6 linked regions of the Macaca mulatta genome follow. The protein of the gene in region 6 purifies or fractionates together with the protein of the main gene of each other region. This does not show direct contact. Links are inferred from orthologs where the notes say so. Each region holds a gene or a part of one and is shown on either strand. Other genes may lie near its edges.

Region 1 (4,230 bases), on a different chromosome or scaffold from region 6:
GGTCTCGCTCTGTTGCCCAGTCTGGAGTGTAGTGGTGCGATCTCGGCTCACTGAAAGCTCCATCTCCCGAGTTCATGCCATTCTCCTGCCTCAGCCTCCCCAGTAGCTGGGAATACAGGCACCCGCCACCAGCCCAGCTAATTTTTTGTATTTTTAGTAGAGACCGGGTTTCACCGTGTTAGCCAGGATGCTCTCAGTCTCCTGACTTGGTGATCCGCCCGCCTCGGCCTCCCAAAGTGCTGGGATTACAGGCTTGAGAAACCGCGCCTGGCCTACCTCACTTGTATAATTTCACACAGCTGATAAGTGGTTAGCTCTAGATTCCACCACACACCATGTGCTTCCTGTTGTTTTGCTGTATATGTCCACTAAATAATAATCATAGCAAAAATAGTAATTGTATAATGACAGCGGCAGAGGCATCAGGAACAGCAGCAACCATCATTTCCAAGTGTCAGGCCCAGTACCTAAGACTATCCCCATTCATTTATTTTTACTTATTTTTGAGACAGGGTCTCGCTCTGTCACCCAGCCTGGAGTGCAGTGGTGAGAACCACCACACTTAGCTAATTTTTTTTAGCTAATTTTTTTTTTTATTTTTTGAGACGGAGTCTCACTCTGTCGCCCAGGCTGGAGTGCAGTGGCACAATCTTGGCTCACTGCAAGCTCCGCCTCCTAGGTTCAAGCGATTCTCCTGCCTCAACCTCCCAAGTAGCTGGGACTACAGGCTCGTGCCACCACGCCTGGCTAATTTTTTGTATTTTTAGTCGAGACGGGGATTCACCGTGTTAGCCAGGATGGTCTCGAGTTCCTGACCTCGCGATCCGCCCGCCTCGGCCTCCCAAAGTGCTGGGATTACAGGCGTGAGCCACCGCGCCCGGCCTAAGTTTTGTATTTTTTGTAGAGATGGAGTCTCACTCTGTTTCCCAGGCTGGTCTCGAACTCCTGAGTTCAAGCCGTTCTCCCGCCTCAGCCTCCGAGTGTTTGGGATTACAGGTGTGACCACCGCGCCGAGCCCCACCCCCTTATTAAACCAATGCACAGGGAGCATCTACTATGTGCGAGGCACCCCCCATTTTACAGATGGGGAAACTGAGTTCCAAGCAGCTTTTGCCAGGAGTGGGAGCGCGTCGTCCCTGCCCAGCCTCTCCAGTTGGGCATTTCGAGATCACCTACGTAGGCTATTCGGCTAGCGCTTAATTAAACCGAAACACTGTCGCAGCGACCACAGGTGCAGACCACCAGGTCCACACCACCCGCCGCCCGGGAGTCCCCGATTAGCAGTTGGGGCGGGACCAAGTCCTCGAGGGGCAGCCGCGACGGCGGTTGAAAGCCTCACCCCCTGCGCGTGCGCGTTGAGCGTCCCGTCGTCCCGCTGGGCACCCGGCGTCCGCGAAGAGCGCGCGCGCTTCCGCCGGCGTCGGGCTCGCGCACGCGCACGGCGACGGCGGCGGTGGCGGCAGTTCCTGCCCGGGGCTGCGAGCGGCGGGCGGCTTCGAGGGGAACTGAGGCGCGGAGGGGCTCGGCGGCAGCGGCGGCGGCTCGGCGCTCTTACATCTCGGTTCGGCTGGCGCCGGGGAGGGCGGTTCGGTCCTTTCCAGGCGTACGGGGACGACAGCGGCAGCGAGCCGAGGCCTGCGGCCTAGGCCTCAGCGCGGCGGCGGGCTCGAGTGCGGCGCGGAGCCGGCCCGAGGGCCCTACCCGGCAGCACCATGAGCGTGGAGGCGTACGGGCCCAGCTCTCAGACTCTCACTTTCCTGGACACGGAGGAGGCCGAGCTGCTCGGCGCCGATACACAGGGCTCCGAGTTCGAGTTCACCGACTTTACTCTTCCTAGCCAGACGCAGACGCCCCCCGGCGGCCCCGGCGGCCCGGGCGGTGGCGGCGCGGGAGGCCCAGGCGGCGCGGGCGCGGGCGCCGCGGCGGGACAGCTCGACGCGCAGGTGAGCGGCACATGGCGGCGCCGGAAGCCCGGGCCTTGTCTCGGCGCCTGAGACCTGTCCCTAGCCCGTCTCGGGCCGGGCCTGGGTTTGCCCGGAGTCCCCCGTCGCGGCCGGGCCTGGGGCGACCTGCCCCGGGTCCCCTACTCCGGCTGGGCCTGAGCTTACCTGCCCCAGGTCCTGCACTCTGCCCGGGCCTGGCCTGATCTGCCCCGGGTCTCCCGCTCCGGCCTGGACCTGGCTGAGTTCCTTCGGCCCCCAACTCCTGGGCTGGGCCGACTTGCCTCGAGTCCTCCACTCCGTTCGGGTCCGAGCTAACCTGACCCTCTTCCTTTACTCCGGCTGGGTTTGCTCCTCCGCCTGGGCCCGGGCTGACCTGCCTTGTGTCCCACAACCAGCCTGGCCTGGAGTAACCTGCCCTGGTCTGAGTTCTTCCACTCCATCCGGGCTAGGGTGACCTGCCCTGGTCCCTCTTTCTCAGGTCTCGGTTTTCTGCCCCGAGTTCCCCTACGGCCTGGGCCGGGTCTTGCTCAGGCCGGATCTTGAGTGACTTCCCTCAGTCCCCTTCCGGGAGTATCCAGGGTGACCTGCCCTAACCCTGTCTCTGGCCTGGTCCGGGGATTCTGCCCCGTCTCCCCAGTGGGGGGTCCGGCCGCACTGTCCCACCTCCCATCTGTGGTCACAGCCATCTGGGCATCCCCCCTTCCACAGTCACGGAGCCGTAGGTTCGAATTTTCCCAAGCATAAGGGCGCTGGTCAGCGGAAGATTGAGGCAGGGAAGAATTTTTGCCTCCCATAGAGGAGCACACATTGGCTGGCTATTAAGATCATTCAGGAAGCAGTTTGTATTTTATTTTTTCTTGCATCGCCTGTTGCTGAAACCGACCTGTTACATAACTCCACAACTCTTGCCTTGGAAAAGTTGGGTTTGAGTTTTGTTCCTCCAATAAGACAGCAGTAATGGGTTTACATAAATGCGTCTGCCACGTTGGAAACTCATTTTTAATGATGTGGATGTTTAGAGAAGGTTACTTAGGTGTTTAAATGGGGGCTTGGGTTGGGAGAAGTATCAGGCATGCATTTCCTGGTCCTGGGTGCTGCCTGCCTGGGGTGGGAGAGGGGCTGGGGGGGCGCGGGTTGCACCGGGCTCCAGGGGCATGTCCTCATCATCCTCTGGATCTCAGGTTGCTTTCACTTTAGGGTTGCTTTGTGCCTGACCCCTCGCTCAGGTTTATTTTCCTGACAGGGAGTAACTCCGAGGCTCACCTTGGCACAGGTGTCCCTTGGCATGTGCTGGTGTTTCAAAGCTGGGAGAACCACTCCTTGCTCATCCTGAGTGAGCTCAGACCCTGTCCTTGCATGAGGGGGGCTTACTTGGTAGTCGGCTGAGTCATTCCCGTGGGTAGACCACCCACTTGGGCTTCCTTTTAGCCCCTAATGGAAGCAAGAAACATTTGACTCATTCTAACCCCATATTCCTTAAAATAGAAAGTTGGGTGTGAGGAGAACAGGTGTGCACGTATGGGTGGTTTTTTCAGTTTTGTTTACATTTTGTGAAGGTGGGGAGGGAGAGAGGAGAGGTCCCTTGAAGAAGGGAGCAGGACCTGCGGAGGCCCCGCCTCCTTGTAGTTTTTATGCCCTGTAGACCTTTCTGCTTCCGCAGCTGTGAAATGGGGGTGGCAGTTGGATTTTTGTTCCTTTTAAACATAAAGGAAACCTAGATCCATGTGTGAGTCGACTGTATAGGCTGTCTGTAATCTGACGTCCAGCCTGTCGGGGAGACTCAGGGTAAAGATCTCTGTGGAGCAGTGAGCCATGAGCGTGACAGCGCGGATAGAGGGGTTGGCTGGTGTCAAAGGTAATCATTTTCTTGTGAATCCTTTTAACTGTGGCCAGCATAAAACAGCAAACCTGGGGCAGCCTTTAGTTCTACTTTTGTTTCTGGCATTCCGTTTGGGATTAAGTGTGGCGCATGTCCTTCTCTTTCAGTTGAAACAATTGATTTTTTTCCGTGCACCTGAACACACTGGGCTGTACAAAAGGAGAGCATTAAAACGCTCCCCTGGAGGTAAACATTGCAGTTGAGCTCACTAGAGTTCTGATGACATCAGATGGTTTGTCCTGTGCTACTTTTAATTGACCCAGATGCCCCACCCACCTGTTACCTGTAATTTGGATTTGTTAGTGGGGAATGGGAGTGGCATCCCTTTGCATCACAAGGGGAAGACCGGAGTTTGGGGGCAAGGAAGTCTATGTATATAATTCAAGGGAAAGCGGAAGAAAGTTATCA
Region 2 (4,194 bases), on a different chromosome or scaffold from region 6:
GAAACAGTAAGTTAATGAGAAAGATCACGTGATTAAAACAATAAAAAATGTTGCTTGAGGAATAATACACAGATAGAATTTAGAAAAAATGAAAGCCCGGACAACTGCAGGCGGTTCTTTCCGCTTTTGTATAGGACTGAGCTCCTCTTCCGGACAAAAACTAGGAATAAAGGAGGTCTTCTTAGTAAAAGCAAAAATGAATTGTCTTAAAAAAAAAAAAAGGTTGCAAGTGATTTTCCAGAAAAGTCAATACCATGTCTAACAGTGGTCTCTACTACAATAACCTGAAGGTGCTAATGACCCTCACAGTAAAATAAGCTAGCAAATAGCCACACCGTAGAGCGCCTACGTTTACTGCCAATCAAGTCCAACTGCTGCTGTCTTAATATTTTTGCTTTTTAATGAATCCTTTCTCTAGGTATTCCGATCCATCCACCGGTAACACGCTGATACTTCGAAATACTGCAGGCAGGAGGGGACGGGGGAGAAGCCCCCCCCCGGGCTTCTTTCGTGTTCGGGCCTCTGCTGCCGCGACCCACGAAAGTACGAATGAGTTCCATCGCTTGGGGCTCACCAGCCAGAGGGCTGGCGGAGGCTGCGAGGGGCAGAACAAGTAGCAGGCTACTGGGTGGGCAAGCGGTGTGTACCGCAGCTGTGGAGGACATCGACGCGGAACGCCCGGATTGAGCTCAGAACACACCGGCCCCGCCCGGGACTCATTCTACAAGCTTCTTCGGAAGAGGCGCCCGCCCGGGAGGGTCTCACCCCAGGCTCCACCGGGAGGAGATGAACTACTCACTGTCAATGTCCTCGATGAGGCTGGCGGTGCCGGGCATATAGTTCATTTTGAACTGAAATAACGCTGCAATGCACAGCGGCGGGGGGCCAGCGCGTCCAAAACCTCCTCCCTCCTACCGCAGTCGCCGCCTCGGCGGGACCGAGCCCGGAATCCCGACCGAGACCAGCACTTCTGCCCCGGCTTTCAGCCGCCGGGGCCTGCCGGAAGCTCCTCCATATTACCCCCACCCACTTCCTGTAACACGTGCGGGCCCCCAGGAAGAGGAGGGGCAGCCGTACGGTTGGGGGACACCCTTTCCCTGTTCCTGTTAAGTAGGGAAGAGGCATCTCCATTGGATAGATGGCGAAGAAACGTATACTCCCTCTTAAGGAACACGGTGTCTTCCCTCGTCCCCGGGTTCCCGAGACCCCAGAGTCACGGACCTCCGTCCCTCAGCTCTCGGGGCTCGGCAGCAGAAGGGGCGGGACCGGGCCTGGGATTGGCTGGCGTCGTCCGACCCCCTTCGCTGCTCTCCATTCGCAATCGCCCGCGGGCGCCTGCGCGAAGGGTCGGCCGTGGGGCGGGGGGCGGGAAGCGCTTCAGGGCAGGAGAGCCCATGTCGGCCCTGAGGCGCTCGGGCTACGGCCCCAGTGACGGTCCGCACTACGGCCGCTACTACGGGCCTGGGGGTGGAGATGTGCCGGTGCACCCACCTCCACCCTTATATCCTCTTCGCCCCGAACCTCCCCAGCCTCCCATTTCCTGGCGGGTGCGCGGGGGCGGCCCAGCGGAGACCACCTGGCTGGGAGAAGGCGGAGGAGGCGATGGCTACTATTCCTCTGGAGGCGCCTGGCCAGAGCCTGGTCGAGCCGGAGGAAGCCACCAGGTAAGCTTTGCACCCTCTGTCCTTGCGGGGAGGTGAGGGCCCTTGGGGCTGGGATTCGTAAAGGATCGGGTTTCATATTTGTTTTCCTTATGTGGAGGAGGGTCGGGGAGGGGGGATGTTGGAGAGACCGAGACTGGGATCAGAGGTTGGGGGATATGCTTGTGTTCCCTTTGCCCCTCCTTTTCTGCGTCGACCGCAAAAAATACGTTTATTACCATTTAAAAAAGAAAGATCCTGCGCGGGCTTACTAAGCTTGGCAGCAGGCTGCAGATCTCTCTGCTGGGAGCAATGCTGGGTAGGGGTGGCACGGATCTGCTGCTCCAGCTCTAGCAGTTTATCCTGCGTGACTGGCAGTCCGGCTCTCCCCGGGAAGGGAAGTGACTGCAGCCCCCGATGTCGCTCAGTGACCCTCCCGAGGGGAAGGAACCTTTGCGAGGGGGAGGTTCTGGGCATTTAGCGTTTGCCCCTAATGCCTTGCCTGAGATCGAATCGTGAATAATCAGTGTTGTAAAGCACCTTTACGCGGATTGACTGATTTAATTTTCACGGCGACTGCAAGGTAAAGTGGCATTACAGCAGCCCCCGCCCCCCGCCCGCTTTTTTTATTTTTTCGAATAAGGAACCGGGGCTCTACGAGGTTAACTCACTTGCCTAATACGCTTGGACCTGTAACATTTTATTCTGTTTTCCCGCCGGACATACACTTCTGCTTTCTTAATGCAGTCTTCTGGGTAGTGGGTTGCCGTTCTACGGTGGCGGCACACCTCTCTATTCGTTCAAGAATTACCCTCATTTGTTGAAAATGTAATAGTGAAATTCCCGTACATTGCTGGTGGGGATGTAAAATGGTGGAAAATAGTTTGGTAGTTCCTCAAAACATTAAGCATTAGAATTAGTATAACACCCAGGAAGCCCACTCTTGGCTATATACCCAAGAAAACTGAAAACATATGTTCACATAAAGCTTGTCCACCCTTGTTTCTAGCATCATTATTCATAATCGCCAAAAAGTGGAAATGTTATTTATTTATTTTTTGTTAGATGGAGTCTTGCTCTGTTGCCCAGGCTGGAGTGCAGTGGCACCATCTCGGCTCAGTGCAACCTCCGCCTCCCGTGTTTAAGCGATTCTCCCGCCTTAGCCTCCTGAGTAGCTAGGATTACAGGCGCCCGCCACTGCGCCCGCCACCGCGCCCGCCACCACGCCCGTATAATCTTTGTATTTTTAGCAGAGAGGGGTTTCGCCATGTTGGCCAGGATGGTCTTGAACTCCTGACTTCAGGTGATCCCCCTTTCCCCCGTTCCTCGGCCTCCCGAAGTGTTGGGATTACAGGCATGAGCCACTGCGCTCGGCCCCAAATGTCATTTTATTTGGGTTATAATAAAAGAGTGAACCTCTCACAGCCCTGGTTCTTTATTCGAATACAGGAATGTTGTAAGGACATAACGACTGATGCATCAATAAACAAAATATGGTGTTAATATATTCATACAATGGAATATTTGGCCATAGAAAGGAATGAACTACTGATACGTGTTACAATATGAATGAACCTTGAAAACATCACACTACGTGAGCAAAGTCAGTCAGAAAGACTGCATATTGTGTCATTCCATTTATATAAAATGGCCAGAGTAGGTAAATCTAGAGACAGAAAGCTTAATGGTTGCCAGAGGTTGGGGGACTGGCGGTGTAGGTGAGAATATGCTTTTTGGGATGATGAAATGTTCTAAAATCAGGGCCTGGTGAGATGGCTCTCACCTGTAATCAATCCCAGCACTTTGGGTGGCCGAGGCCAGAGGATTGCTTGAGTTCAGGAGTTTGAGACCAGCCTGGGCAACATAGTGAGACCTTGTCTCTAAAAAAAAAATAAAAAATAGAAAACAAAAAATAAGAAATCTTCTAAAATCAATGATGATGGTTGCACAACTCTGAATATACTAAAAACTACTGAATTGTACATTTTAAAAGGGTAGAGTTTATAGCATGTTGATTATATCACAGTTTAAACAATTGTATGAGAAATACATGTAGCAGTGAGAAATTATTTTTTATTTTTGAGGCGGAGTGTTGCTTTGTTGCCCAGGCTGGAGTGCAGTGACACAGTCTCAGCTCACTGCAACCTCCGCCTCCCGGGGTCAAAGTCTCCTGCTTCAGCCTTCCTAGTAGCTGGGATTACAGGCACCCGCCACCACGCCCAGCTAAATTTTGTATTTTAAGTAGAGATGGGGTGTTGCCGTGTGGGCCAGGTTGGTCTTGAACTCCTGATCTCAGGGTATCCTCCCACCTTGGCCTTCAAAAGTCCTGGGATTACACATGTGAGCCACAGTGCCCAGACAAGATTGATTATAAATTAAAGATCTGGCTGGGCACGGTGACATGCCTGTAATCCCAGCACTTTGGGAGGCCATGGAGGGCGGATCACCTGAGGTCAGGAGTTCGAGCCCAGCCTGGCCCACATGGCAAAACCCCGTCTCTACTAAAAATACAAAAATTAGCCGGGCATGGTGGCGGGCGCCTGTAATTCCAGCT
Region 3 (2,743 bases), on a different chromosome or scaffold from region 6:
CCAGCTAATTTTTGTATTTTTAGTGGAGACAGGATTTCACCATGTTGGCCAGGGTGATCTCGATCTCCTGATCTCATGATCCGCCCGCCTCGGCCTCCCAAAGTGCTAGGATTACAGGTGTGAGCCACTGCGCCCAGCAGGCTCAGGTTTTCAACTTGGCCCCCTCTTCTAACCCCAGAACTTGACTGATGCCATCGCCCGAGCAGCTGCAGACACATTACAGGGGCCGATGCAGGCAGCCTACCGGGAAGCCTTCCAGAGTGTGGTGCTGCCGGCCTTTGAGAAGAGCTGCCAGGCCATGTTCCAGCAAATCAATGATAGCTTCCGACTGGGGACACAGGAATGTGAGTGGGGTCATATGGCCCAAGGTGGGAGCGGTTATCCTCTTTCCTTCTGTTCCTCTTATAGTCCCTGTGGTCACCCCTCAGACTTGCAGCAGCTAGAAAGCCACATGAAGAGCCGGAAGGCACGGGAACAGGAGGCCAGGGAGCCTGTGCTGGCCCAGCTGCGGGGCCTGGTCAGCACACTGCAGAGTGCCACTGAGCAGATGGCAGCCACCGTGGCCAGCAGTGTTCGGGCTGAGGTGCAGCACCAGCTGCATGTGGCTGTAGGCAGGTGTGTGGGCAGAGTACTGGGCAAGGTGGTGGGCTTGAGAAAGGCCAGATTGGGCTCCCTGTTCACTTCACCTCACTCACTTCCCTTTGCAGCCTTCAGGAGTCCATTTTAGCACAGGTACAGCGCATCGTTAAGGGTGAGGTGAGTGTGGCGCTCAAGGAGCAGCAGGCCGCCGTCACCTCCAGCATCATGCAGGCCATGCGCTCAGCTGCTGGCACACCTGTCCCCTCTGCCCACCTTGACTGCCAGGCCCAGCAAGCCCATATCCTGCAGCTGCTGCAGCAGGGCCACCTCAATCAGGCCTTCCAGCAGGTATGATAGGTGTTAGGCCCTGGTAAGGGTCACGTGTCTCTTGACAAGGCCCACACACCATACATTCCACCCACCAGCTTTGCACCTTCTGGTCCCAGCAGACTGTTCTTGGTTCCCTTTGGCCTCGAGGCCATTGTCCCTGCTGCTTCCTCTTCCTGGACCCCCTTCTTCCCACCTAGCCCACCTTGCTTTACAACTACCCTTCTCAGGAACCATTTCCCAATCCCCTAGGGTAACTATACAACTCTGCGGGGCTCTCTCTGAGTCCCTCTGGAGCCCTCACTAGCGCACCCCGTTGTCTTCCTCCCTCAGGCCACACAGTTCAGATAAACAGACATTCCATCCTGATATTTGCTATAAACACTGCTCTTTTTTTCTCCTCCAGGCACTGACAGCTGCTGACCTGAACCTGGTGCTGTATGTGTGTGAAACTGTAGACCCAGCCCAGGTTTTTGGGCAGCCACCCTGCCCACTCTCTCAGCCTGTGCTCCTTTCCCTCATCCAGCAGCTGGCATCTGACCTTGGCACTCGAACTGACCTCAAGCTCAGGTAAGTGGGGGCAGCCAGGAATGGGGAGATGAACTGGGGAGTGGGGGAGTAGGAGCGAGCAGTTTGAATCTGACACCCACTTCTGCCTGAATCCTCTCCCTAATTTTCTCCACCAATCCTCTCTGCCCTCACCCAGAGGGTTTCCTCTGGGCTTCAGTGCCACCAGGGGGCGCTCCCATCTGCTGGTGCCCACCTGTAGCCTGTCCTTTCCCCCATCCCCAGCTACCTGGAAGAGGCCGTGATGCATCTGGACCACAGTGACCCTATCACTCGGGACCACATGGGCTCCGTTATGGCCCAGGTGCGCCAAAAGCTTTTTCAGTTCCTGCAGGCTGAGCCACACAACTCACTTGGCAAAGCAGCCCGGCGTCTCAGCCTCATGCTGCATGGTCTTGTGACCCCCAGCCTCCCTTAGCTGCTAAGCCTGCCTTGCCCAGGGGTGGGATGGCACTGAAGGCCATCAGACAGGCCTAGGCCGAGGCAGGGTCACGGCTGGCCTTTACCTGCTCAGGCCCCCATCTCTGGGGTGTTTGGGGGTCAGGGAGCAGGGAGCACTGGCCGTGGTCTACAGGGTGTGGTAGTCAGAAGGTTTAGGCTGGGCCCAGGGCAGGTATTGTGCCTGCTTGGGTTCTGCCATGCCTGGAGCATGACCCTGAGATCGTGACACCACTTGAGTGGAATTTTCCATGTTCCTTTTTACCTCTAATTTGGATCTTTTTGTTTTTGAAAAATGTTGAGAAATTCAATTAAATGCTTTTGGAATAAAATGGAGTATGTGTGTGCTTTTGGCTTGTCTTTGGTGTGACTCTCATAACTGCCCTCTGTTCCTTCCCTGCCCCTCTCTTCCCTGTGGAGCTCTGTCTAGGCCAACCCAGCCAAGGGGCGGGGTTACCCACTCATCTGCTCCAACTGCCTTCCCAGATCTCCCTTCTCCCTCCTTTTATGGGGTGAGGGTCCAGGGGCCTGCTCAGCACCAGCCTGTGCTCCTGGGAATTTCTGCTCTCTGAGGTCCCTTCTCGCTCCTTTTCCCATTTGGGTGTTGGAGGTGGAGCCGCCGGCTGGGTTCGGAGCCCCACCCCCGGCTTCCATCCAATCACCGTCCCTCCCTCCGGGGGCTGGGCGGACGGGCTGCGCTCCAAGCTGCTAGCTCTGGCACTAGGCTCTCAGCCAGGGACGATGCGCCGCTGCCACTGCCGCTGCCGCTGCTGCTGGCAACCACCCCGTGCCCTGAGGCCGTTGCTGTTGCTGCCCCTCGGTGAGTGCGGGC
Region 4 (4,080 bases), on a different chromosome or scaffold from region 6:
TCCCTCCCTTTGGGGGAGGGCCCGGCCTCCTCCGCTCCCACTTTCTTGAGTTCTTGAGTCTTGCCCTTCGACGGCAGGAGAAGAGGGTTGCGCCCTATCAACTCCTCACTTTACAGTCCAGCTTCTCCCCCCACCACTCCGGTGAGCTACCCCTGCTCCATGCGTTCCGGAGTAATCCCCCTCAGTCGCACTCTCACAGCCCGGCCCCTGCCCCCACCTCATCCCCAGCTGTGCCTTCACCTCCCGGTTCCTCCCCAACAGGTCCCCCAAGATACGCCCTCACAGTCCGGTCCCCCGCCGTCCTCTCCCGGCGCACGCTCAAGCCCGGTGCCTTCCCCCCGCGGCCCCCCGAGGCGCACCCTCAAGCTCGGTGCCTTTGCCCCACCCGGCCCCACAGGGGCGCCCTCAAGCCTAGTACACTTCACATGAGAGCCCCTGGGGCGCACCCTCAAGCTCGGTGTACCCCCCCATACAACCCGCAGGCGCGCCCTCTTGCCTGGAGCCTTCCCCCGCCCAGGCACACCCTCAAGCCCGGTGCCTGCCCCCACCCCCAACCAGCCCCCCAGGCGCACTTTCAAGCCCGGAGCCTTCCCCTAGCCAGGCGCGCCCTACTGGCCCGCCCTGCCCCTCCGCGAAGCGCCCCCCGCGCGCTCCCTGGAGTCCTCCCTCCTGCCTGTCGCGGCCTCCAGGCCCGGTCGGCCCCCCTTCCGGCCCCCACACTCAGACGCGTGCCCCGCGTCTCCGGGCCGCTAGTCCCGCGCCTTCCTGGATGGACGCGGCCCCTTACGCCCGGCATCAGCCTCCCCGGCTAGCACGAGAAGTCAGGTCAGCTTCCTGTCCCCAAGCAGCTGCCCGGGGGCCAGTTTTCAAAACATAGCCTTAGACATGTAATAAAGAGATGCTCCTCTGGTCTCAACTCCCTATTTTTACTTTGGAGGGGCGAAGGCAGGGCTACCCTTGCCAGCCACCATTCCCCAATCACTTCGCAGCTGTGGAAAAGCAGCCGTCCTGTCCCTTCAGAAAGGAACTCATATTTCCCCCTCGAACTTTTCTCGTCGGTGTGAGAGAAGGGCCCTCCATTTTCTCCTCAGGAGGCTTTTGCGGCCCGGCTTCCTCTCACCACCAGGCCGGGAAGGCAGTGACGCCGCGGCGGATGTAGCCGCGGCGGCCGAGGTTTCGCCATCTTGAGTGGAGGAGGAGCCGCGGTCGCCGCCATGCGGAGAGGCAGGGAAAGAGGGAGGAGGCGGCGGGCAGGCGAACGGGCGAGCGAGGGAGGGGACAGAGGAGCCGAGTTAGCTCAGCCCGGCGGCGACTTCGGCGGCGCCACGAGAGCGGGCAGCGGAGGAGGTAGGGCTGGACGGCCGGGGGAGCCGGCGGCGCGGGCGGCTGGGCTGCGCGCCCCTCGGAGCCGGGTGGGGGCGGGGGCGGGAGGAGGCCGTAGCGAGGGGGCCGAGTGGGGGCGGGCGGAGGTTTCCGAGGAGGAAGGAGCGGCCGCCATTTTGGGAGCTTCGAGTCAACAATAAAGGACCGAGGGTGCCGAGCGGGAGTGGCCTCCTTGGTAGGACACGGGCCCGAGCCGCGAGGCCTGGGGTGAGGTGGTGGGGTCGAGGTCAGCGGCGCTGTGGGGGCTGCGGGGAGTCTCCCGGGCCGGCTCTGGGGGACTCTCTTGGGCGGAGGCCTAAGGCCTGGCCGGGCCTGGGGAGGAAGGCGGGCGGCAGCTGTGTGGGGTGGGGGCGCCTGAGAGGAGGCGAATATAGGAATGTGGTGCGCGGCAGGGTCGGCAGGAGGAGCAGGCTAAGTACTCGGAGGAGCTTTATCGAAGATGAGGGAATATGAGGCCGAAGGGGGCGGCAAGGACTTAGGGGGATGATGGTGGAGGTTATAGGGTACGAGGCGGCCCTATAGGGGGCGGCAGGGACATGCTGTATTGGAAGGCTCGGTTTAGAAGCGAACTGACCGCTGCTTGATTGCGGTAGGCCTTGCAGGTCAATAACAAGAGGGTGTATATGGAGCCCCAGACTCTTGGAGGAAAGGAGGGGGATTTCTGGGTTGGGGGGTCCCTTTGGGGCCTTCTTGGGGGAGTCCCTATTGTTTGCTACTGATGGAGCTGGTTGCCGGTTCATATTGCGCAGATAGGATTGCAGAGCCCAACCTTTTGTGTTTATGGTCAGAGGGAGCTGACTTGACGTGTGTGTGTTTGGGGCGAGGGGCAGCAGGGGGGAGGGCAAGAAATTTCCCTACAATTGTGGGGCTCCAGTCATTGACTTGTCTCTTTCCCTTATCTCTTTCTTTTCCCTTCCACAGCCCCCCTTTCCCTTCAGAATAAAACCCAGTCACTCCAACTTGCAGGCAAAGCTTAGAAAAACTGCGCTGCATTTGCAAACAAAAGCTCTTGTTGGCGATGACGATACTGTTTTGGGTGTGAAACTGTCAATTGCTAACTATGATCTGAGAAGTGCTGTAATTAACTCCGCTAGGGGCTCCTCCCAACTAGTCTACGTTTCTAGTCTGTTTCTCGTTTTTTTGTGTTTTGTTTTGTTTTGAAAATGGAGAAAGATAACTTGAAAATATAAATTGGGAAGGAATAGGAGGAATATTTCCTTCTCTGAGACAAAGCTGCAGTGCAGGTTTCAGTTTAAGGGAGCAGTTATCACATAGTCTCATTTTGGATTTAAGGATATAGGTCTTACTGTGCATGATGGACAGTAATGATGATATCGTTCGGTCTTTAGAGGTTGCCCTTTTCATCCTCTTAGTGCTCTGCAAACAGCTAAGTCTCTGTGTGAACTGCGTGATGTCGCTGATCATAATATAAACCCGTCAATACAGGAAAGTAGCTGTTAACCATATCTGCTTAAGATGTCAGAAGGACTTTAAAGTAAACAACTTTGTGTATGTGATAATCAGGATTTGCTTGTGAGCAACTTGTTCTTTTTTTTTTTTTTTTTAAGGAAGGCATAATCAAGGAGCATTTTCTCATAAATTTTGAGATCTGTTGACTTTAAAATTTTGAGTTTCACATGCCTTGGTGTATGGCAGAAAGAATCAGCACTCGTAAGCTGTGTATTTTATGTAAGAAATGTGACGGGGTTGCTGGGTGCGGTGGCTCACGCATGTAATCCCAGCACCTTGGAGGCCAACCAAGGCAGGCGGATCAGCTGAGGTCAGGAGTTCGATACTAGCCTGGCCAACATGGCAAAACCCCGTCTCTCCTAAATATACAAAAAATTTAGCTGCGCGTGGTGGCGGGCGCCTGTAATCCCAGCTACTCTGGAAGCTGAGACAGGAGAATCGCTTGAACGCAGTAGGCGGCGGTTGCAGTGAGCCGAGATAGTGCCACTGCACTCCAACCTGCGTGACAGAGCGAGACTCCGCCTCAAAAACAAAAACAAAAAAGCCATGTAACGGGGTTAAATCAAAAGCCAACAGAGTAGGGCTTTGTTTTCGGGTCTTTGTATGTTTTTATTAACTACAATTAAGATTTCAGCCGGGCACGGTGGCTCTCGCCTGTAATCCTAGCACTTTGGAAGGCTAAAGCGGGCAGATATTTGAGGTCAGGAGTCTTGAGACCAGCCTGGCCAACTTGATAACACCCCGTCTCTACTGAAAAATACAAAAGTTAGCCGGACTGTAATCCCACCCAGCTACTTGGGAAGCTAAGGCATGAGGATCGCTTGAACCCACGAGGTGGAGGTTGCAGTCAGCTGAGATCGGGCCACTGCACTCCACCCTGGGCAACATGTCTCAAAAGTAATAATAATAAATAAGAGTGGCTGGGGGGGTGGCTCACGCCTCTAATCCCAGCACTTTGGGAGGCCGAGGTGGGCGGATCACCTGAGGTCAGTTGTTCAAGACCAGCCTGGCCAACATGTCCAAACTACGTCTTTACTAAAAATACAAAAATTAGCTGGGCATGGTAGCGCATGCCTGTAATCCCCAGCTACTCAGGAGGCTGAGGCAGGAGAATCACTTGAACCCGGGAGGTGGAGGTCGCAGTGAGCTAAGAGCGTGCCATTGCACTCCAGCCCGGGCGACAGTGCAAAACTCTGTCTCAAAAAATAAAATGAAAAATAAAAGTAA
Region 5 (4,033 bases), on a different chromosome or scaffold from region 6:
ACAGGAACAAAATGCCTTTAAACAATTGCCCCAGGCATTAGTAGTGAAATGAATAGAATGACAGCCTGCCTACTTCGCAGAGCTGAGGTCTGATCTATTTTTCTTAGTACCTATTCATAAGAGTTGTTGTGAGGTTAAAGTGAGACAATTTATGTAAATAACAGTTCCTGGAACATAAATGCTTGATAAATTATGGCCACAATTCTTTTCTGTGGTTGAGCAGTGCGGGGAGATCATGAGAAATTTCTATCTACACGCAGCTAACAAAATACTCTGTATATTGCAGAACTGTTTCACTTTCTCCCTTTGAGATGCAAGCCGGATTGCCGCCTCCTCAAGTAACCAGGCACAATGTTGCGATCCCAAAGTCTCACAATCCTTCAACTATGAAGTCAGTAAAAACTCCAGCTTCCATTTATGGATTTACGCAGAACTTTTTATACATTGAGGGACTAATTCAATCAGTAAGTCGCTTTGATTTTTACTCTGATCACCGGGACTAATAAGCAGCGATGCCGAACCAAGTAAACGAAAGAATCGTGAGCCACACTTCAGTAGATATAATTTAAATGTAGACTGATTTTCTCCACGATTGCTAGGGAAGAAATCCTTACGGCGTACTTAGAAATCTTTATTTTAAAATGATAACGCTGTTATGTTGGGCTGAAAATAAAACGGATACTTCCCCAAGGTCAGCAGCGGAGGCGGCAACCGTGGCCTTGCCAGAGTCGTCCCCCTCTTCTCCGCCCCCGTTCTTCCTGCCGCCCTCCCCCTGCCCCCTCCCTTCCCCACCCCCATCAACAAACTCCGCCGGGACCTTTCAATCCCACCACTCCCTAGCCGGGCGAAGCGCGGGGGCGTGCTGGGGAGGGTAAGGAGGGTGGGGCGGAAACCCAATTTCATTGTTCCCGGGACCGACTCTTCCCGAAAGAGCTCCCTGGCAGCGCCTGCGCAGTGCGCGCTCTTTGTGCCAGGCTGCAGCAAGCTGGTTGTTTGTGTGTGTCTACCCAAAGCGGCGGAGGCGGAGCGAGGGGGCGTGGCCTGCCTTGTCGCACTCTGATTGGGCTTTCGCAGGGAAGTGGGCGGGCGCGGGGCGGAGCTTCCGATAACAACACTCGGAGCTGGGGCTGTGGCTATTTGTTGCTGCGCCGCCACCGCCCGAGTCATGTTCCGCGATCTTCTCTGGCTCTCCTAGCAGCATCCATCGCCGTCACCCTATTTTCACTGGCTTCACCTCCTTCTCTCCTCGTTGCTGAGCGACAAGCTTCCTAGCGCTATGACCGTCGTCTCCGTCCCGCAGCGGGAGCCGCTCGTCCTGGGTGGCCGCCTTGCGCCGCTTGGCTTTTCCTCCCGCGGTTACTTCGGGGCCCTCCCGATGGTGACCACGGCTCCGCCTCCTTTACCCCGGATCCCGGACCCCCGGGCACTGCCCCCGACCCTCTTCCTCCCTCACTTCTTAGGGGGAGATGGCCCGTGTCTGACTCCGCAGCCTCGCGCTCCAGCAGCTCTGCCCAACCGCAGCCTCGCCGTGGCGGGAGGCACCCCTCGGGCAGCGCCGAAGAAGCGGCGAAAGAAGAAGGTGCGGGCCAGCCCCGCAGGGCAGCTGCCCAGCCGCTTCCACCAGTACCAGCAGCACCGGCCGAGTCTGGAGGGCGGCCGGAGCCCGGCGACCGGCCCGAGCGGAGCAGCGCAGGAGGTTCCGGGCCCGGCCGCCGCCTTGGCCCCGAGTCCTGCAGCCGCAACCCGCACGGAGGGAGCCAGCCCCGACCTTGCCCCGTTGCGGCCCGCGGCTCCCGGCCAAACCCCGCTCAGGAAAGAAGTAAGGGCTGCCAGCGGGCCTTTGGGGAGTCGGGCCCTTAGACGGTCGCGGCTGAGCTCTGGGGCTGCAGGTCCTGCACCGGGGGGGTCGGACGGGTGGGGGCGGGGTGGGGGGGCGGCTGTTTACTCGGGAGGGAAGTTTCCGTGACGCCCTCTCCATTCTTGCTTTGGGGGAAGAAGGGGGAAGGGGAGGCATGCGCTGGTGCTTCTGATTGGCTCCCAGGAGTCGGCCAATGAGAAGCGCCGCTGCGCCCCAGCAACAGCCCCGATTTAGAAGGCTGGCGGCGTTCCAGGGGGTTTCGGCGTTCCGGGCGCGCGGCGGTGTGGGGGCAGGGACGGGGCCCCCGGGAGGGCTGACGTCAGCGCGCGCTACGTGCCCGGCGCTACGGCGCCCATGAAGGAGGCGAGGCCGGGTGTGGGCGGCCAGGGAAGGACGGGGCCCCGCTATCGGCCTCCCGGCTGTCGAGAGCCCCAGTCCTAATCGGTGAAACGCGGAGACGGATTCTGACGTCCCGCCGTGGGGGGTGGAGTGGGCTCTGAGCAGCTCGGTTTCGTTTGGAGTTGTGCCGAAATATGAGGTGCCCCGTGTGGGACGCGCAGTCCAGCTGGGGCTCTGCCCGCCGCGGGCTTGACCTACTTAATGGTTTCTTCTAAGTTCGGAGTTGGCAGGAGCCGCACAAAACTGATTTTATTACCGTTGCCACTGTGTACTTCGTGTTAGTGTGTCCAGAAGAAGTTTTCAGAAGAGTTAGCGACTGCTGATTGCAGTGCTATTGGATTAGAATAAAATGGATAGAAGTTTAAATGGGATTAAGTCTACGAAATGATTTCAAAGTCTTGTCAAAATAACGTTTGATGGACTTAAGTTCAGTGACTCTTTTCGAAATAATGAAATGAAAAAGTTCCCGCTATTTAGTGAAGAATGTTGCATTGAATTAGAGATTTGCAGTTTGTCTGTGCCCTTGGGAAAAAATTACTAAATTTGCCCACCGTGTTTAACCTATCTTCTCAATGTCTCCCACCTTTTAAAATTACACGACTTTTGAAATATCCGTGATTACCTAAAAGCTTTTGTGCTTGTTTCCTGGCCTGTTTTCTAGAACAGCTACTAACCAGGGAGCTCTGGCAGTGAACCTACAGACGTGGAAAGTTGTGCTCTACTTTCGTGTCGTGTCGTGCTTACTACCGTGTTACAAGCGTTGGTAGTGCAGTGATCTAGTGGATTACGTTATGATTTTCCATCTGGTCAAGACTCCTATAAGGCCCACCTAAGTTAGGAAAGATTAAGATCAGTGAAGCAGCGTTCTTGAAACAGTTACTAAACCAGGAAGTGGGGGGTACACAGCAAACATTGTTTCTGGCACTGATATTTGGAAGAGAGCTCATTAGTCTAACTTAAAGTTGTAGAAAGGTCGGCTTGGGTTATTTCAGATTTTTTTTGTTTGACATTTTAGAACTGGTTCACGTTGCATACTGGTAACTAGCAGTGGTGATTAACTGCATTTTTAGTGGCAAACAAGAGTGAACTTAAAAGTCAAGGGAAAAGTCAAGTTTTTTTTGTTTTTTTTCTTGAGACAGGGTCTGTCTCTATCGCACTCCAGGCTGGAATGGAGTGGCACGATGGATCTCTGCTCACTGCAGCCTCCCCATCCCAGGCTCAAGGGATCCCGCCTCAGCCAGCCTCCCAAGGCACGTGCTACCACGCCGGGCTTATTTTTATATTTGTAGTAGACATGGGGTTTTGCTATGTTGCCCAGGCTGGTCTCGAACTCCGTGAGCTCAAGCGATCCACTTGCCTTGACCTCCCAAAGTGCTGGGATTACAGGCGTGAGCCACCCTGCCCAATTAAAGTTTTTGTAATTGCAGCTCTTATTTTATTTATCCAGGAGGTACTTGAGCAGGTTTGTTACATGGGTATATTTCGTAATGCTGAGGTTTGGAGTATGAATGATCCCATTCCAGGTAGTGAGCATAGTACCCAATAGGTCCCCTCCCCTTCTAGTAGTGCCTAGTGTCTGTTGTTGTTCCCCATTTTATATCCATGTTGTACCCAATGTTTAGCTCCCAAATTCACTTACGAGTGAGAACTTGTGATATTTGTTTTTCTGTTTCTGCATTAATTCGTTTAGGGTAATGGCCCCCAACTACATATGTATTGCTACGAAGAACATAATTTTGTTCTTTTCTATGGCTGTGGGCAAACTTAAACACAACA
Region 6 (3,500 bases):
GTAGAGACGGGGTTTCACCATGTTGGCCAGGCTGGTCTTGAACTCCTGACCTCAAGTGATCCTCCCAGATAGGCCTCCCAAAGTGCTAGGATTACAGGCATGAGCCACCGCTCCCAGTCATAACTGGATTTTTAAATTCTTTTTTATTGCAGTATGATTTACATACACTGAAATGCAGATTTTTAGAGTCCAGGCATGGTGGTTCACACCTGTAATCCCAGCACTTTGGGAGGCCTAGGTGGAAGGATCACTTAAGCCCAGGAGTTCAAGACCAGCCTGGACAACATAGTGAGACCTCATCTCTTACAAAAAAATCAAAAATGAGGGGAGGATTGCTTGAGCCCAGGAAATTGAAGCTGCAGTGAGTGGTGACTGCACCACTGCACTCCCACCTGGGTGACAGAGTGAGACCCTGCCTTAAAAAAAAAAAAAAAAAAATGCAGATTTTTTTTTTTCTTTTTTTTCTTTTTCTTTTTTTGGAGACAGAGTCTTGCTCTGTCACCCAGGCTGGAGTGCAATGGGTACAGTCTTGGCTCACTGCAACCTCCACCTCCTGGGTTCAAGCGATTCTCATGCCTCAGCCTCCCGAGTAGCTGGGATTACAGGCGTGCACCACCACGCCCGGCTAATTTTTGTATTTTTAGTACAGATGGGGTTTCACCATGTTGCCCAGGCTGGTCTCGAACCCCACCTCGGCCTCCCAAAGTGCTGGGATTACAGGCATGAGCCACTGCGCCCAGCCAAACAACACAGATTTTTAAATGAGTTTTTGACACATGTATGTATTATCCCTTAGGCAACCCAATCAATATGTAACATTCTGTCACTCCAGAAAGTTCCCTCATGTCCTCTTCCAGTCATTTCCCCAACTCCCCTCCCAAAAAGCCTTTACATTTTGAATTTATCATAGGATTTTTCTTACTGTGCATTCTATACCGTTATTTCTCTTACCTTCTGTGGCAGTTGGACTTGGCTTCCCGTAACGATTCTAGGACGTTCTTATATAAATGGGCTCGTCATCCCTTAGCTCACGGAAGTTTATAACCATATGCTAGATGTTCAAATGCTCCTACTGAATGTTTACCTGAACCCGAAACAGTCTGTCTCTGGGCTTCACTCTTCTGCTGCTTGTGCCTGTTTCCACATGCTCCTTATTCTGGGCCTGGCTACTGGCTTCTGCACTTTGGTACAAAATGACCATTGTTCCTCTCCAGGTTGCAGGCGCCCCACTGGTTACTGCAACGACTACTGCAGTGTCTTCAGTCCTGCTGGCCCCAAGTGTTTTCCAGCAGACAGTTACAAGGTCTTCAGATCTTGAGAGGAAAGCCAGCTCTCCTTCTCCTCTAACTATTGGAACGCCAGAAAGTCAGAGAAAGCCTTCCATTATTCTCAGCAAGTCTCAGCTCCAGGATACGTTAATACATCTCATAAAGGTATGTAGGATACCAATTTTATCTTTGATTTTTCATTACTTAATAAAAGAAATTGTATACATTCCTCCTACAGAATCAGTTCATAAAGTAAATTCAAAAGACTAGCTGGAGGCCGGGCAAAGTGGCTCACACCTGTAATCCCAGCACTTTGGGAGACTGGGGTGGGCAAAAAAAAAAAAACAGACTGGGAGTACTGTTTCTCTTTTTTCAAGCATACCGTCCTGGTGGAGAAATATCTGCGCGAACTCAATATATTAATCATGATTGTCTCTGGATGGTGGGATTATCAGTTATACAAATCATTTATACAATTTTTTTTCCTAAGCTGTTACCAAGGAAGTAAAATCTGTTGAGGTAAATGTGGCATTCGTATCCTTAACCTTTCCCATCTCTTCTAGAATGATTCCAGCTTCCTCAGTACACTTCATGAAGTCTACTTGCAGGTGCTGACCAAGAACAAAGACAACCACAACCTATGACTGGAGCAGAGTAAGTCTAAAGGCCGAGTGCTAACCTCAGAGACAAATAGGCTTCATCATGGAAACTTCTGAGCAGAACATCGAGTTTGAGAATCCTGAAATTGAGCCTATGAGAAAGAGACTCATTTCTTAAGAATGTTTTCCAAGTGACATTCTCAGTGATAATGGAGGTTTCACTGTGAAGCATCACCAGCAGACCTTTGTTTTGACAAAAAACAAAATCATTGTGTTAAGTTATGTGGGTGTTTTCATCAGCTAGGAGCAAGGCTGTGGAATAAGGAATCTGATTCTCAGCTCGCTTTCACTTTCAAGGACTTACAGAGGAGTAGTCACCAGCCTCACAGCAGAAGTTCAGCCTGGCCCCCACCGCTTGCCCCAGCCTACCCCATAGAAACAGGCTTTGGGCTGACAGTCAAGTTCTAAACAGAGTAGAAGGCAACTCTGCAAAGTAGCTTCGAGCTTTTAGGACCAGAATTTAAGCCGGCAAATTGGGAATGATTTCCTCAAGTGAAATGTATTTTATATGAATGCCCCATTTGGGCCTTAAAAGTTGTGAAATTTCTTAATAGTGTTTTGTTTTTAAGTGCCCCAGTCCTGCCCCGCAGCAGGCCCCCAGTGCAGCATTACCGTTTGAATAGGGCACTGTCAGGCTCTGGTGGTGTGGACACAGGCACGTCACACCTTTGAAGGAAGGCTGAAACTGGGAATGCCCACATCCTATCAGATCTTCATTTTAGGTTGAACTCTCCAATGGTTCTGAAAATGCTAAGTTTGTGTGTGAAGCACAGCCTTATTTTCCTTTTCTGTCATTGTTGATTGTTTTCCTTAACACTTTGACAAAAGGACCTGTGGACCAATCTGACAAAGCCATCCTGGTTCCTTTCCTTGAGTGTACTGAGAATAGTTTTAAAGCTATGCAGAAAAGGGAGCTGTTATTCACACTGCCCTTATTTTGTTGTAGAATTATGGAGTTAAAAGAAAATGTGATTCCAAACTCTACCAATGTATTCCTAGGCTGTGAGTACTTTCCCAGCCCAAAGTGTGAAAATATGTAAAGAAGCTTTGTTATGCTGCTATTGATCTGCCATGATTTCTATTTATTCTTTTATAGCATGTAATGGTGTTTAGTAATATTTTAATGTAGATTTTGATTTATTTCAGCAATAGTAATTTTAAGATATTCTTTGAATGAAAGTGTCTTTGTTTCTATGATACAGGTCATTTTGTAGTATTTAACCAATTAAGATGCACTGCTTACTTTTTATGAGCACTATTTAATGATGGGGTAAAAACCCAATTGGCTCAACCAGCTAGCATAAGGATTAGCTGTGAATAATGCTGACAGATATGATGGTTCCTTGGGAACAATCATTTAAGCTTTAATGGTAACTCAATCATAAGTCCATAGATTATTTTTTTCTAGCTGAAATTCTAGAAAATTACTTGTGAATTACATACTTGTTTTAGTTTGGTCTTAGTTTTTAGCATAAAGAATGATTGGCTTTTGTTGATCTAAACATGCTTCCTGGACAGGGTTTCTGCTTCTCATTTTAGTGTCTTCTATTGCTGTCTACCTAATTATGTGTGA

Evidence for each region.
Region 1: the proteins of DCP1A (region 6) and UPF1 purify together in Homo sapiens (co-immunoprecipitation; 4 studies listed by BioGRID and IntAct, with this or other methods). This does not show direct contact. The link is inferred for Macaca mulatta from reciprocal best matches to the Homo sapiens genes DCP1A and UPF1.
Region 2: the proteins of DCP1A (region 6) and BAG4 purify together in Homo sapiens (affinity purification with mass spectrometry; 4 studies listed by BioGRID and IntAct, counting the BioPlex papers as one, with this or other methods). This does not show direct contact. The link is inferred for Macaca mulatta from reciprocal best matches to the Homo sapiens genes DCP1A and BAG4.
Region 3: the proteins of DCP1A (region 6) and EDC4 purify together in Homo sapiens (co-immunoprecipitation; 9 studies listed by BioGRID and IntAct, with this or other methods). This does not show direct contact. The link is inferred for Macaca mulatta from reciprocal best matches to the Homo sapiens genes DCP1A and EDC4.
Region 4: the proteins of DCP1A (region 6) and DDX6 purify together in Homo sapiens (affinity purification with mass spectrometry; 8 studies listed by BioGRID and IntAct, counting the BioPlex papers as one, with this or other methods). This does not show direct contact. The link is inferred for Macaca mulatta from reciprocal best matches to the Homo sapiens genes DCP1A and DDX6.
Region 5: the proteins of DCP1A (region 6) and PNRC1 purify together in Homo sapiens (affinity purification with mass spectrometry; 3 studies listed by BioGRID and IntAct, with this or other methods). This does not show direct contact. The link is inferred for Macaca mulatta from reciprocal best matches to the Homo sapiens genes DCP1A and PNRC1.

The regions. Positions count from the first base shown.
Region 1 is NC_133424.1:19,389,249-19,393,478, forward strand, and holds the start of UPF1 (regulator of nonsense transcripts 1), read left to right. Parts: upstream 1-1,430; 5' UTR 1,431-1,712; coding exon 1,713-1,943; intron 1,944-4,230. UniProt on the Homo sapiens protein: RNA-dependent helicase required for nonsense-mediated decay (NMD) of aberrant mRNAs containing premature stop codons and modulates the expression level of normal mRNAs.
Region 2 is NC_133413.1:40,115,730-40,119,923, forward strand, and holds the start of BAG4 (BAG family molecular chaperone regulator 4), read left to right. Parts: upstream 1-1,394; coding exon 1,395-1,664; intron 1,665-4,194. Other genes in the region: U6 snRNA-associated Sm-like protein LSm1, read right to left, coding at 1,222-1,396. UniProt on the Homo sapiens protein: Inhibits the chaperone activity of HSP70/HSC70 by promoting substrate release. Prevents constitutive TNFRSF1A signaling. Negative regulator of PRKN translocation to damaged mitochondria.
Region 3 is NC_133425.1:63,458,635-63,461,377, forward strand, and holds the end of EDC4 (enhancer of mRNA-decapping protein 4), read left to right. Parts: intron 1-178; coding exon 179-344; intron 345-428; coding exon 429-615; intron 616-707; coding exon 708-927; exon of another isoform or gene 928-960; intron 961-1,253; exon of another isoform or gene 1,254-1,312; coding exon 1,313-1,476; intron 1,477-1,698; coding exon 1,699-1,891; 3' UTR 1,892-2,243; downstream 2,244-2,743. Other genes in the region: NRN1L (neuritin-like protein), read left to right, coding at 2,653-2,743. UniProt on the Homo sapiens protein: In the process of mRNA degradation, seems to play a role in mRNA decapping. Component of a complex containing DCP2 and DCP1A which functions in decapping of ARE-containing mRNAs. Promotes complex formation between DCP1A and DCP2.
Region 4 is NC_133419.1:119,470,672-119,474,751, reverse strand, and holds the start of DDX6 (putative ATP-dependent RNA helicase DDX6), read left to right. Parts: upstream 1-1,280; 5' UTR 1,281-1,347; intron 1,348-1,502; exon of another isoform or gene 1,503-1,590; intron 1,591-4,080.
Region 5 is NC_133409.1:96,904,720-96,908,752, reverse strand, and holds the start of PNRC1 (proline-rich nuclear receptor coactivator 1), read left to right. Parts: upstream 1-1,233; 5' UTR 1,234-1,276; coding exon 1,277-1,819; intron 1,820-4,033. UniProt on the Homo sapiens protein: Nuclear receptor coactivator. May play a role in signal transduction.
Region 6 is NC_133407.1:116,872,377-116,875,876, reverse strand, and holds part of DCP1A (mRNA-decapping enzyme 1A), read left to right. Parts: intron 1-1,214; coding exon 1,215-1,433; intron 1,434-1,831; coding exon 1,832-1,912; 3' UTR 1,913-3,500. UniProt on the Homo sapiens protein: Necessary for the degradation of mRNAs, both in normal mRNA turnover and in nonsense-mediated mRNA decay. Removes the 7-methyl guanine cap structure from mRNA molecules, yielding a 5'-phosphorylated mRNA fragment and 7m-GDP.